Callithrix jacchus: one gene and its partners. The protein of the gene in region 1 interacts with the protein of each later gene in a pairwise test. Links are inferred from orthologs where the notes say so. Each region holds a gene or a part of one and is shown on either strand. Other genes may lie near its edges. The genes, in order: UBE2U, TRIM32 and RNF144B.

Region 1 (3,645 bases):
CACCCAAGCATACGTACAGATTGAGACAACATGGTAAAAAGAGACAGAGAAAATAATGTAAGAATATGAGGAGATAGGTCACGGTTGAAGAGAAAATGGGATGGACTCTGGGATAAAACAGAAGAGGAACATTCGTAAATAGTGACATCTTATTCCTTGAATATGAAGAAAACAAGACAAGGCAGATGTAGGTCCGTGTATAGATCCCTCTACTCGGGTTCATGTCCAGCCTCTGAAGCTTTTAACTGCTCCCCTCCTATCCCAGCCTCTTTCCAACCCATTTCCTGCCTGCACGACACTGTGGGAGTGTAACCCCATTGATTAGCATATAGCAATGAACACCCCTAACTTAGGTAACTTAGTTCTAAAGAAGCAGCACTGAAAAAAGCCAAAGCAACATCTTTACTGATTTGTACTTATATTTCAAATTTGTACCTGCAGTGAGAGGAAGAGAACAACTTGAAAAGAATGGAATTCAAGTTCTGAGAGTCTTCCAAAATTGCTCCACAACGCTGGGCTGTGGTGGAGGCTGTTTATTTTTAAAATCTGATAATGCGCTGCTTAATCTTCTAAAGTATTTGTATTGAGAGTGTTGGTCCAGGAGATCAGATCTTCCACTTCCTCTTCCCTGGGCTCGTCTGTATCATCTTCATATAGCGAAGCATATAATGAAGAGTCATTCTTCCGCTCCTCCTCCTCCATTTCATAAATGTCTGTGATGCTATTTATTGCAGTTGGTGACTCAAGAAAAATTTCATCTGTGGTGGGAATAATGAAAAATGAAATTTAATAGCTATAACAGGAAAAACAATGAAAAGAGAAGCTCCTCCATTTGTAGGATAATGCCAAAGACCATCGGATTGAATGCGAGCAACCTTTTTTAAACTTTCTAAACTTCATGTTTTATAAGTAACTTTGTCATAAATCATTCTTTCCATCTTGCTCAATCTTTTTATGCTTTGCTAGTCCACTCTTTAACATATATTTACTGAGTCCCTGCTAAGGGCCAGTTGATGTGCAAGGGAAAAGCTGCTTTGGGAGCCCAGGGAGGGAATCACTATGTCTAAGTGAAAACAGACTCAGACTTTGAAACATGAGGAGCAGTTTGCTAGACAGAGAAGGAGGTCAGAAAACATTAGACAGAAGAAACAGCACACATCATATAAGCACAAAGGTATGAGAGGACTTGACAGGGTTAGGGGTGATTAGAGTGGATGCCCCTGTACTTCCACTGTGCTAGGTGCGATGCTAAGCAGTTAACAGGCATGATATTATTTAACTGAGACACAACCCTCATGATGGGCAGGCATTATTATTATTATTTTACAGTTGAGGAAACTGAGGCTGAGAAACCTATAGTAACTTGACCAAAGATATCCAGCTAGTAACAAGACTCATCCTAGATTTGTCTATCCAAAAACACAATGTTATAGTACACAAAAACTTTTGTCGAGCTGGAAGGGAGGCTGATCAGGAAAGCTTCATATGTCATGCAAATGACTTTCATCTTTATCTTATAGGCCATATAAAGAGGAAAATAAACTGATGATACGTTTCAAAAGAAGAATATAGATCTAATGTCTACGTTTCTAGATCTATATTTCCACACAGCATGGGGATCTTGCTTTCTGGGGATGAACTCTAGCTGGCACTATTTGTGTTCTGTTAACTCTAAAAGATCACTGTATTCTCTTCCCTTTTTCCTAGTTGCCTCTGGGTTCACTGCCTATTAATGGGTTGCAGGACAAATTCTGTTTGCCTTCTATGTTTATTTTCCTCACTTACATATAAAATGAGCCCTGTAATATTTGTTGTCTCCTTACATTATAGACATGGGCTACAAGTGACTTTTTTTTTTCTTCTGTCTTTGGTTTATAGATAGATACATAGAGAGGCCAGGCATGGTGGCTTACACCTATAACCCCAGCATTTTGGGAGGCCAAGGCAGGTGGATCATTTGAGGTCACGGATTTGAGACCAGCCTGGCCAACATGGTGAAACCCTATCTCTACTGAAAATACAAATGGATCACGAGGTCAAGAGATCGAGACCATCTGGGTCAATATGGTGAAATCCCGTCTCTACTAAAAATACAAAAAAAAAATAGCTGGGCATGGTGGTGCATGCCTGCAGTCCAAGCTACTCGGGAGGCTGAGGCAGGAGAATTGCCTGAACCCAGGAGGCGGAGGTTGCGGTGAGCCGAGATCACGCCATTGCACTCCAGCCTGGGTAACAAGAGTGAAACTCCGTCTCAAAAAAAAAAAAAAAAATACAAAAATTAGCCAGGTGTGGTGACAGGAGCCTGTAATCTCAGCTGCTCTGGAGGCCGAGGCAGGAGAATCGCTTGAACCCAGGAGGCAGAGGTTACAGTGAGCTGAGATCAAGCCACTGCACTCCAGCCTGGGTGACAGAGTGAGACTCCATCTCAAAACAAAACAAAAAAAGAGAGAAAGATACACAGAGAGATTTGAGTTTACACAGTCCCCATTATCCTATGGGTATCCTGAAGCCTCCAGTGATTTTTAATTTTTGTACTTTTGATACTAATATTTAGTTGTAATTAATTTAAGACTAAATTCTGTCTGTGCCTTGACAAAAGCCTCTACTTTATTTTCCATGAACATATTACTGATGGACTAACTCCAGCTCTTTCTAACTATGTTTGGACCTTTCTGACTCCACATGCTTTTGATTACAAGAAATATAAAGCCAAGTCAACCCAGTTTAAACAATAAGAGAATGTTTTATCTCACATAAGAGAAAAGCCAGAGTGGAGGGCTGGATTGACTGTTACAGAGACTCCACAATGTCACAGAGGACATAGTTCTTTTCACTGCTTGCTTTACTGTCTGAGGTGTTGTCTTCACCTTCAGGTGCGCAGCAAGAGAGCTATGGCCATTCTAGTAACCACACCAGACACAGCAAAATCCAGAGGAAAAAGTGGTCTTCTTGCCAAACCTGACAAAAACAAGCATTGGGGAAAGGGTTCCCTATTTAATAAACGGTGTTGGGGAAACTGGCTAGCTGTATGTAGAAAGCTAAAACTGGATCCCTTCCTTACACCTTATACAAAAATTAACTCCAGATAGATTAAAGGTTTAAATATAAGACTCAACACCATAAAAACCCTAGAAGACAACCTAGGCAAAACCATTCATGACATAGGCATGGGCAAGGACTTCATGACTAAAACATCAAAAGCATTGGCAACAAAAGCCAAAATAGACAAATTAAACTTAAGAGCTTCTGCACAGCAAAAGAAACTATCATTAGAGTGAAGTGGCAACCAACAGAATGGGAAAAAGTTTTTGCAATCTACCCATCTGACAAAGGGCTAATATCCAGAATCTACAAAGAACTTAAAAAATTTGCAAAAAAACCACAACTCATCAAAAAGTAGGCAAAGTGTCTGAACAGACACTTCTCAAAAGAAGACATTTATTCAGCCAACAAACATATGAAAAAAAGCTCATCATCAATAGTCATTAGAGAAATGCAAATCAAAACCTTATTGAGATACCACATCATACCAGTTAGAATGGCAATCATTAAAAAATCAGGAAACAACAGATGCTGGAGAAGATGTGGAGAAATAGGAACACTTTTACACTGTTGGTGGGAATGTAAATTAATTCAACCATTGTG
Region 2 (4,079 bases), on another chromosome or scaffold:
CCAATCTTTGAAAATCTGATGCAATTTCATAATCAGAATATGGGGCTTTCTCCAGATTAAAAAAACAAGACAAACTAGTTCAACATCATTTTAGTGACCTCTTCACCTACCCTTTGGCAGCTATTACAACACAAGCCAAAGAAACATTACTACCATAAAAACAATTTTGAGCAGCTCATTTTAGCAAATTTTGTTTCCATGAAAGCAAGGGAGTTGCTCTTTGGCTTGGCATCAGCCTTGCACGTAGAGTAAGATATACTGCTTAGTAAACATCAAAGCCTCAGGAACCTCATCACAGGTTCTCTCACCCATTTCTGATCTTAAAAACAAAACTAACTTCCCTTTTGTGAACTGTAATTATAAACATAAAACATATAGCAGAAGCTCAATTTAGAATAGGGTATTGGTGACCATAAACCTTGGGTGGATGATTCTGTACACGTGTATTTGGGAGAAAGATTTGGATTATTATATTTACATAATAGTGCTTTTGGCTGAATTTTAATCTGGGTAGCTACCTACACTCTCAAAGAACACAGTGTGAGCTAAGGAAGCAAAATGGCATAGTGGAAGTTATCCCTCTTATCATCTCCAAAATCCTGTATTTAATTAAAAGACATAAACACCAGTGAGGAAGAAACAGTTCTCAATTATTTAATGCTTGGCAGAGAAATGGAAAGAGATCCTGAAACCAAATAGTATGAACTCACTTGAGGAAAATACAGAATAACAAACCAACAGTTTTGCTCTTTGTTTTAGTAATAAACATGAAAATGTGTCCACCTCCCCACTTTGTTGGCCCTGGCCTGTGTTGCACTTTCAATAGACACAGGCCAGAAGAGAGAGGTAGTATGAAAAATGATGAGCCCTAATGACTATCCAAGTATGCTGACTGTATCAGCAGTTGTTCGCTTATTCCCAGCTTCCAATGCTTTGGCATAATTCCAATCCACAGATGCTTCTTTAAAAGGCCAGCAATTTCCAGGCTGAAGTCGTCAATACCATCCAACTAGGGTCAATCCATTCTGTCACATCTCCAACTTTCAATCCAAGATGGCACAGATCCTCCAGCCAAGAGGTACTGCTTCCTAAAGGGCCTGTGTATCCCCTTTGGTAGCACTAAATGAATGAGCTTTCACACTGGTGAAGATGACTGGACTGAGACATCATATTACAGGAATATGATGTCTGAAACGTCACTGAAAGGTGGAGCAGAGACCACTGAAGCATGCACACTGAATCCAATCAGAGTTGAAGAGGAAGTGTCACAGATGAAGCACATTATAATAGGAAGGAAACAATGAATCAAGGGCATCAAAGCCAAAAGGAAAAAAATCAAGGATTTAATACAAGGGCAAATGTCAAACATGGCACAAAGGGCTAAAGTGGCTCTTTCTACTAAAGCCTTGGAAGTGCCTAATTGCTAATCAAACTTCAGCTAACACCATCGTATGTCCTATTTGGGCAGTGCATCTTTTAAAGCTCTAAATTTAGGTGGAAAGCGGGGAGGGGAAAATAAAAAACACTAAAAGATGGAGCTTCTGAAGTTCTAGAACTACCCAGCTGGAATCAAGACATAGGCCAAGTCTACTCTATATGAGCCACTAACAACCAAGAACTAAGGGAAGGGAGGTTGGCTAGGGAGCAGAAGAAACTGGTATTTCTCATCTCCTATGGGGTAGAATATCTTCTCAGATGGTAGCTGTAGATCTTGATGCAATGATCCCAACAGTCTAAGACGAGCAGCTGCCCCTTGGGAGTGAGGGCTATGCCCACCGGACAGGTAAGTCCTTCTCGAATAAGGACACTATAGCCCCCACCCTTAGGAAAATGGAGAATTTCCTTGCGACTACTATCAGCCACGATGAGATCACCACGAGCATCCACACACATGCCAGCAATGCAGCGGAAATCCTCATTCTCCGAGAAGAAGTGGCTAATCTGGCGACCCAGCTGCCCATCAGGGCCTACAGAGCCAATGGAAAAGCCACCCTCCAGGTGGTGCTCATTCTGCCGATTCTCCAGATTAAGGCCTAAGCCCTGGGTGAAGTAGACGGTGCCCTCTGCATCACAGGTGACAAATTTGGGCCGCACAGCACTGCAGAGGCAACTGTATTTGACCACCCCTGATCCTCGATCAACTGTGAAACACCAAAGCTTTCCACCTTCCACATCCGTTACTACAAACTGGCCAGATGGCAGGGCTGTGATGCCCCATGGTTTGCTCAGCTGGCTCCTGTGACAGGCCACACAGTGGCCATCTAAGGTATATACCTTGAGGGAGTTATCATAGCTGTCAGTCACACCAATTAGCCCATGGCAGTTCATGGCCACTGAGAGAGGAGTGAGGTTGGGTAGATCCGCCCCAAGAAAACTTAGCACAAAGCTATCAATGCCACTGGGGCTGCGGCGGATTTCCTTCAAAAAGCCTTTGCGGGTAAAGACTTGTATACGATAGTTGCCACGGTCAGCAACTAGCACTTCACCTTGACTGGTCACGTAGAGACTGACTGGAAGATTGAACATTCCTGGAGTGCTGCCTTTGGCCCCCATCTTCTTGAGAAAGAGGCACTGCTGGATATTGGAGGCTGCCTCAGGACCCCGCTGTTTAGCAGGTGAGGCCCTAGGGCTGGCAACCACTTCCTCCGGGCTCATGTCCATCTCTCTAAATGTAACAGAGGTAGAGGCAGCAGAGGCTGCAGCTTCCATGGCCCAGGAATCTTCCATGTTAACTGTTCGGGGCTTCTTAACAGCTTGCCCAATTTGAAGGGGGCCAACATGACCTACCTTAAGGAGCTCCACATCTTGCAGGGTGAGCTCCCGAGGCAAGCTGGCAGTGAGCTCTGGCTCCTCCTCATCAGCTGTCTCCTCCAGTAGTGCTACATCTGCCTGCTTAATTTTGGCCAGGAAGTAGTCACAGCGAGACACAGCCTGCACCTCTGCAATGTTAAGCAGGTAACTCTGCTCCTCTACCACTTGACTATTGCACTTCTCAGCTTCAGCCAAAGAGCCTGTGAAGAACTTCCGAGAGCGAGCCAGCTCATCCTGGACCCTGCGCTCCTCATGTCCATACTCCTGGAGAACTGCTTTATACCTTGCCTGAAGGTCCTTGGAGACACCTTCCAAGGCTACCTTCCGCCGCTGCAGCTCCCCCATAAGTTCCCGCAGACGAGTCAACTTCTCTCCAAAATCCCGACGCCGCTCCTCAGCTGCCTCTTTGACAGGGAGTGTACAGTGACCAGGAGGCTGATGGTCTGCCTCCCGGCAGGGCTCACATAATACCAAACCGCAGCTCCGGCAGAACTGCCGGGGCAGACGCCGCCCACAGGACCGACACATGAGCAGCCCCACAGCCTCACTGAGCCCAGCTGTATCAATGATCTTTAGCACTGTCAGATTGTCTGTCAGCTGGGTCAAGCTGGTTATGCGGGTAATCTTGCTGCAAAAGGGACAGCGGACACCATTGATGCTACTGGCCAATAGCTTCTCCAGGCACTGGCGGCAGATGGTATGGCCACAGTGCAGGAGCTTGGGCCGCAGCTGCTCTTCTGTGAAGGACTCCATGCAGATGGGGCATTCTAGCACTTCCCGGAGGGCATCCAGGTTCAGGTGAGAAGCTGCTGCTGTAGCCATTGCTCTTTCTTTGAAGGGTACTGCTAGCACAGCTCAGAACTGAACAGCACAGTATTCATGCCCTAGAGGGTCAAGTTCCTGCTAAAGAGAAAAAGAAACCATTATTCAATTTCCTCTGACTATATAAATCAGTTCACTGAAGAAACATTTAGAGAATAGCTATGATCAGTCGTTCAGTCATTCACTTACTTAACAACTATCTTACAGAGGTCTATTATGTGTCACGTGAGGGTGACTCATAGGGAAACAAAACAGATGAAACACTGCATAGTGGATAATAATTCAGATTCTGTAGTCTAAGATGCTTACTTAGTTGCAATGACCATAAGGAAGTAATTCAAACTTCCAAAAGCTCTTTCCCCATCACTCATCTATAAAATAGAAGTAGTAATGGTGTCTGCTTTATATGGTTCTTGTAAGGGCTAAGTAGCAAGATAAATACGATA
Region 3 (4,386 bases), on another chromosome or scaffold:
TGGATCACTCTCTCCTTCAAAAACACTCCTTTGTCACCTGGCTTCTGGGACACAATTTTCATGTGATTATCTTCCCACTTCACTGGCTACAGTCGCTCCTTCTCTTCTCCTTGTGGGCTCCCCTCTCACTCCTGAACCTGTAAACACTGGAGAGTTCCAATGTGCCATATTGAGCATCTCCTCATCCCTACCTATATTCACTGTTAGTGATTTCAGTTCCAGGGTTGTAGATACCATCTACATGTTGACAACTGCTACATTTGTATCTCCAGCTCGAGTTACTTCTGGTGAAGGCCAGACTCTCAAATCCAACTGCCACTCCTGAATCTCCATTTTTGAATTCTCAAAACTAACATGTCTAAAACAAAACAACTCATTCCCACCTCCTGCACTTTCCCCTTCAAAACCATCCTGCCCACCCCCACCCCTGAAGTCTTTCTTATCTCAACCAATGGCTACTCTGTTCCTACAGTTGTTGAACCAAAAACCCCAAGGTCATCATTGACTTCCAGCTGACTCTTGCCCACATCCAAAACTTCAGAGAATTCTTTGGAACAATCAAGTCGGTCTTCAGAGTTCTCATTTTCTTAGGATCTTTTCAAATGTCTTATTAATAAGATGTTGCTTAATTGCTGAATATATAAAACAAAATCCCATCCACCCTACCGGTACTTCCTATCTTCTTTAACTTGCTTAACTGTTATCACTAACTGTTGTAGGATTTATATTCACTTATTCATGGTCTTGATGGCAGTGGCAGCCCATCTGGAGCAGCCACTGAGAGGATGCCAGCTGCAGCATGGAAGGCACAGCCAGAGCCGCACACTCCTCAGAGCCAGCAGGGGCCGGGAACACGCAAGAGGCCCGCCCCCTACCGAGTTGGTAAGCATCGGTGGTCCAGCAACAGCTCTGGGCCCAGGCATCCTCGCTCTTGGGAGCCCAAGAAGCCCCTGCCCCTGCAGGCTTGAAAGTGCCTGCTCCTGAGGTTACAGTGAGCCAAGATCATACCACTGCACTGCAGCCTGGGTGACAGTGAGACCCTGTCTCAATTAAAAAAAGAAAGAAAGAAAGAAAGTGCTTGCTTACAGGCCTCTATCCTCTACTCAATCCCAGGGCCTGCTCCAAGGCAGAGTAAAGCTGTGGCTGCTACTGCAACCCAGCTGGGTGTGTACGCATTCAGGGTAGTACTGACACACCCTCCCCCTGCCACATCCACCCCCTCTGGACTTTGGACACCAACAACTGCAAGAAGGGTCTGAGGGTGGCTCTGTGTGCACCTGCAGGGATCCCTTGGCATAAACTGCCTGCGTGCCACAGATGACATGTTGATGGTGGGAGGCAGACAAGTTCCTGGGCAGAAAGGGGTTGGTGCCTGCTCACCTTCAAACCAGGTACCAGTGGCCAATTCTGGGCAGAGTGAGAACTTATGGTGCTTTTTCTGGGCCCACCAATGGACCAATCAGCACACACTTCCTCCCTTCTGAGCTCATAAAAACCCCAAACTCAGCCAGAGGTCCGGACTACCAGCTATAGGAAGGAGCTACCCACTTTGGTCTTCTCAACTTGTCAGGACAACCTGCCTGCAGAAAGGAGCTGCCCATTATGGGTCTCCTCTCCACTGAGGGAAGACACTGGTCAGGACAACCTTCCTACAGAAAGGAGCAACGCACTTCAGGTCTCCTGAGAGCTGTTCTGTCACTCAGTGAAGCTCTTGTACACCTTGCTCACCCTACAGTTGTTTGGGTGCCTCATTCTTCCTGGACACAGGACAAGAACTGAAGACCTGCCAAATGGCAGGACTGAAAGAGCTATAACACAAATAGGGCTGAAACACAAACTTCTGATCCTTCAACTATGTGTCAGGTAACAAGGAGAGACAGCTATGGATAGGATGCGAGTGGAATCAATAGTGTGGAAAATGGTATACAAGAGTAGGAATGACACCACTGGCATATGTTTTGGAAGGGGCACAAAAGGAAAAGAGAAGATTCAAAGAAACGGTTTAATTTTTGTCCTGCAATCCAGAATCCAAGCAAATTTCACTGACCGTATTTCCATTAAGTCCACTGAGTACAAGGATCCGCTGGGTGAGCTGGTGGTTGAAGAGCTGAGATAAAATAAAGGAAATCACATACAAAAGAAGGCAGCATGGAGCAGGGAAGATACTGCTTTGAGTGTTTGCAGTGTTGAATGTAAAAAGCACCTGCAGAGATAGCCTAGAACTCTGGGAGAAGGGTCTGGACCTGGGCAAATAAGGTATTTCCTGTATTCTAAAACAGAGTAGTGTGTGCAAGAGAGGAGAGGGGAAGGAATCCGGTGGGAGGGAGCCTTTCCCCCTATATTCACAGGGGTGTAAATCTATGTGGCTGGTTATGTGAACCTTTAACGTGGCAAGTAAGGTCTTTTTCCTTGCAATGCACCTTAAAAGCAACGGGGTCCTCAGAAACATAGCAGGTTGGGGAGTTATATATCACCCAGCATGATTTCTGGGGCATTGATGAGATCGCTGACTGAGTAATTCCCCTCCGCCTCCAAGAAACGTTATCGATAGCGACTTCGGGGATCTCTAAACTTCTTTACCGCCGCGCCCCTCCCCGGCCCGGGACTACTCATCATCTTTTCCGGGAAGCGACGGTGGAGACAATAAACACGCAGGCCCCCTAGCGTCCTTCCGTTCCGCGCGGCCAGGCCGCCTCGCCTCCCGCTCCCCACCGCCACCCAGGACACAGCCCGCCCGCACCTCAGGGCCCGAGCGCCGACCGCATGCCAGGCGCAGCCCGGGAGAGCCTAGAGCGCGCATCCTTCCTTCCGCGGCCGCGGAGACCCCTCGCAGTCCCGCCCGCCCGGGCTTCCCGCGGAGGCACCCGGCCGCCCCGCCTCCCCCGCCCCGCGCCCGCCAACTCCCAGCTCGCGGCCCTGATTGGTCGCCGCATTCCCGCTCTCCTTCCCGAACCGCCATTTTGAAAATCTTGTTGATTCTAGGGAGCCGAGCGCGCGGCGTGAGCGTCACGCCAGACAGCGGCCCGCGCGCCTTCTCCTCGGCGTCGGCCGCCGCCGCTTCCTAGAACCTCCTCGTGTCCTCGCACGACAGGCCCGCGGCGGTCGGGACCCGCGGTGAGGGCTGCGTCGGGACGCAGGAGGCCCGGTCGTCACTCCCGCGGCCGACGGGGGAGGGACGCAGCCATTTGGACGGCGGCTTGGGGCGGGGGAGGGGACGCCGAGGGCCGGCAGCTCGGGCCGGGCCGGGCGGGGAACAGCGCAGGCCGAGCGGGCGCTTTTTCCCGCCTCGGGAATACCTGGACGGCGGCGGGCGGAGCGGCAGGGAAGCGGTCCCTGGGGACTGAGCGCTGCCGTCCCGGCTACGGGAAGAGACAACTTTCAGGGCAGGTGTCCCGCGAGAAGGGTTGTATCTTTCGAGGTGGCCGCCGTGTCCTGCCTACGAGAGCAGGGGGACCGAGACGTCCGGCTTTCTACCCATCCGCAGGTTCACAGCATGTCTGCCTCGGCCCCTGCGGAGGGAGAGGGAACCCCCGCTGAGCCCGCGTCCGAGAAGGAACCCGAAATGCCCGGTCCCAGAGAAGAGAGCGAGGAGGAAGAGGACGAAGACGACGAAGAGGAGGAGGAGGAGGAGGAGGAAAAAGGTGGGGGGAGTTGCATCCCAAATGATGGATTTTTCAGACCGAAGTCCCCCCCCCCCCGCCCGCCCCAGGAAACAGTTTTCTTGCTCTTTTGGTGTTTAGGGGCATAAAGTCGGAGTGATTTTTCAGCGAGAATGCATGCACAATTTATCTGCTTTTGTGTTGAGCGATTGCATAGAATTAACTTTGTGTATTCCGGTATTAGCGTGGTAGTGATGTATTGGAGTGCAGCTGACTTATGCCCGCTCTAAATAAATACTCATTAATTTGACGGGAAGTTTGTAGGTCTTAAATTAGATTTTTTTTTTTTTAACTCCGCATGTGCACCTTTGAAGTTGTTAAGTGGATGTTCTAATTTTGTCCGTTTCATTACACATCTGTTGCCTTTCGACGTTATTGTAAGGTCTTAGTGCAGCCCGTTAAGACTGATGTTAATACATCTGTTGCCTTTCGACGTTATTGTAATGTCTTAGTGCAGCCCGTTAAGACTGATGTTAATGTAGGCTGGACCTGGAAGTATTTGAATACTTGGAAATATTTTTACGTTTGCCAAAAAGTTTCTCTCCCTGGCAAACAGCGGTGAAAGCTCTTGCTACTTGAGAAAGTAGTTCAAAATGAGAAAAGTGAACTCTGAAAGTTAAATGTCTCGGTTTCGGAACTGAGTCTGCTTTAAGGGAGGGCGATATGAACCCTGATTTGACTGGAGGTGTGAAACAGAAACGTGACGGCATTGAGGAGTGTGCTGTGT

What was found.
Region 2: the proteins of UBE2U (region 1) and TRIM32 interact in binary tests that used the Homo sapiens proteins (3 or more experiments, as listed by UniProt). The link is inferred for Callithrix jacchus from reciprocal best matches to the Homo sapiens genes UBE2U and TRIM32.
Region 3: the proteins of UBE2U (region 1) and RNF144B interact in a two-hybrid assay, tested with the Homo sapiens proteins (2 studies listed by BioGRID and IntAct). The link is inferred for Callithrix jacchus from reciprocal best matches to the Homo sapiens genes UBE2U and RNF144B.

The regions. Positions count from the first base shown.
Region 1 is NC_133508.1:101,414,899-101,418,543, reverse strand, and holds part of UBE2U (ubiquitin-conjugating enzyme E2 U), read right to left. Parts: intron 759-3,645; coding exon 562-758; 3' UTR 1-561. UniProt on the Homo sapiens protein: Catalyzes the covalent attachment of ubiquitin to other proteins.
Region 2 is NC_133502.1:165,034,663-165,038,741, reverse strand, and holds the end of TRIM32 (E3 ubiquitin-protein ligase TRIM32), read right to left. Parts: intron 3,715-4,079; exon of another isoform or gene 3,712-3,714; 5' UTR 3,634-3,711; coding exon 1,672-3,633; 3' UTR 630-1,671; downstream 1-629. UniProt on the Homo sapiens protein: E3 ubiquitin ligase that plays a role in various biological processes including neural stem cell differentiation, innate immunity, inflammatory resonse and autophagy.
Region 3 is NC_133505.1:12,567,124-12,571,509, forward strand, and holds the start of RNF144B (E3 ubiquitin-protein ligase RNF144B), read right to left. Parts: upstream 2,867-4,386; 5' UTR 1-2,866. Other genes in the region: protein DEK, read left to right, coding at 3,494-3,641.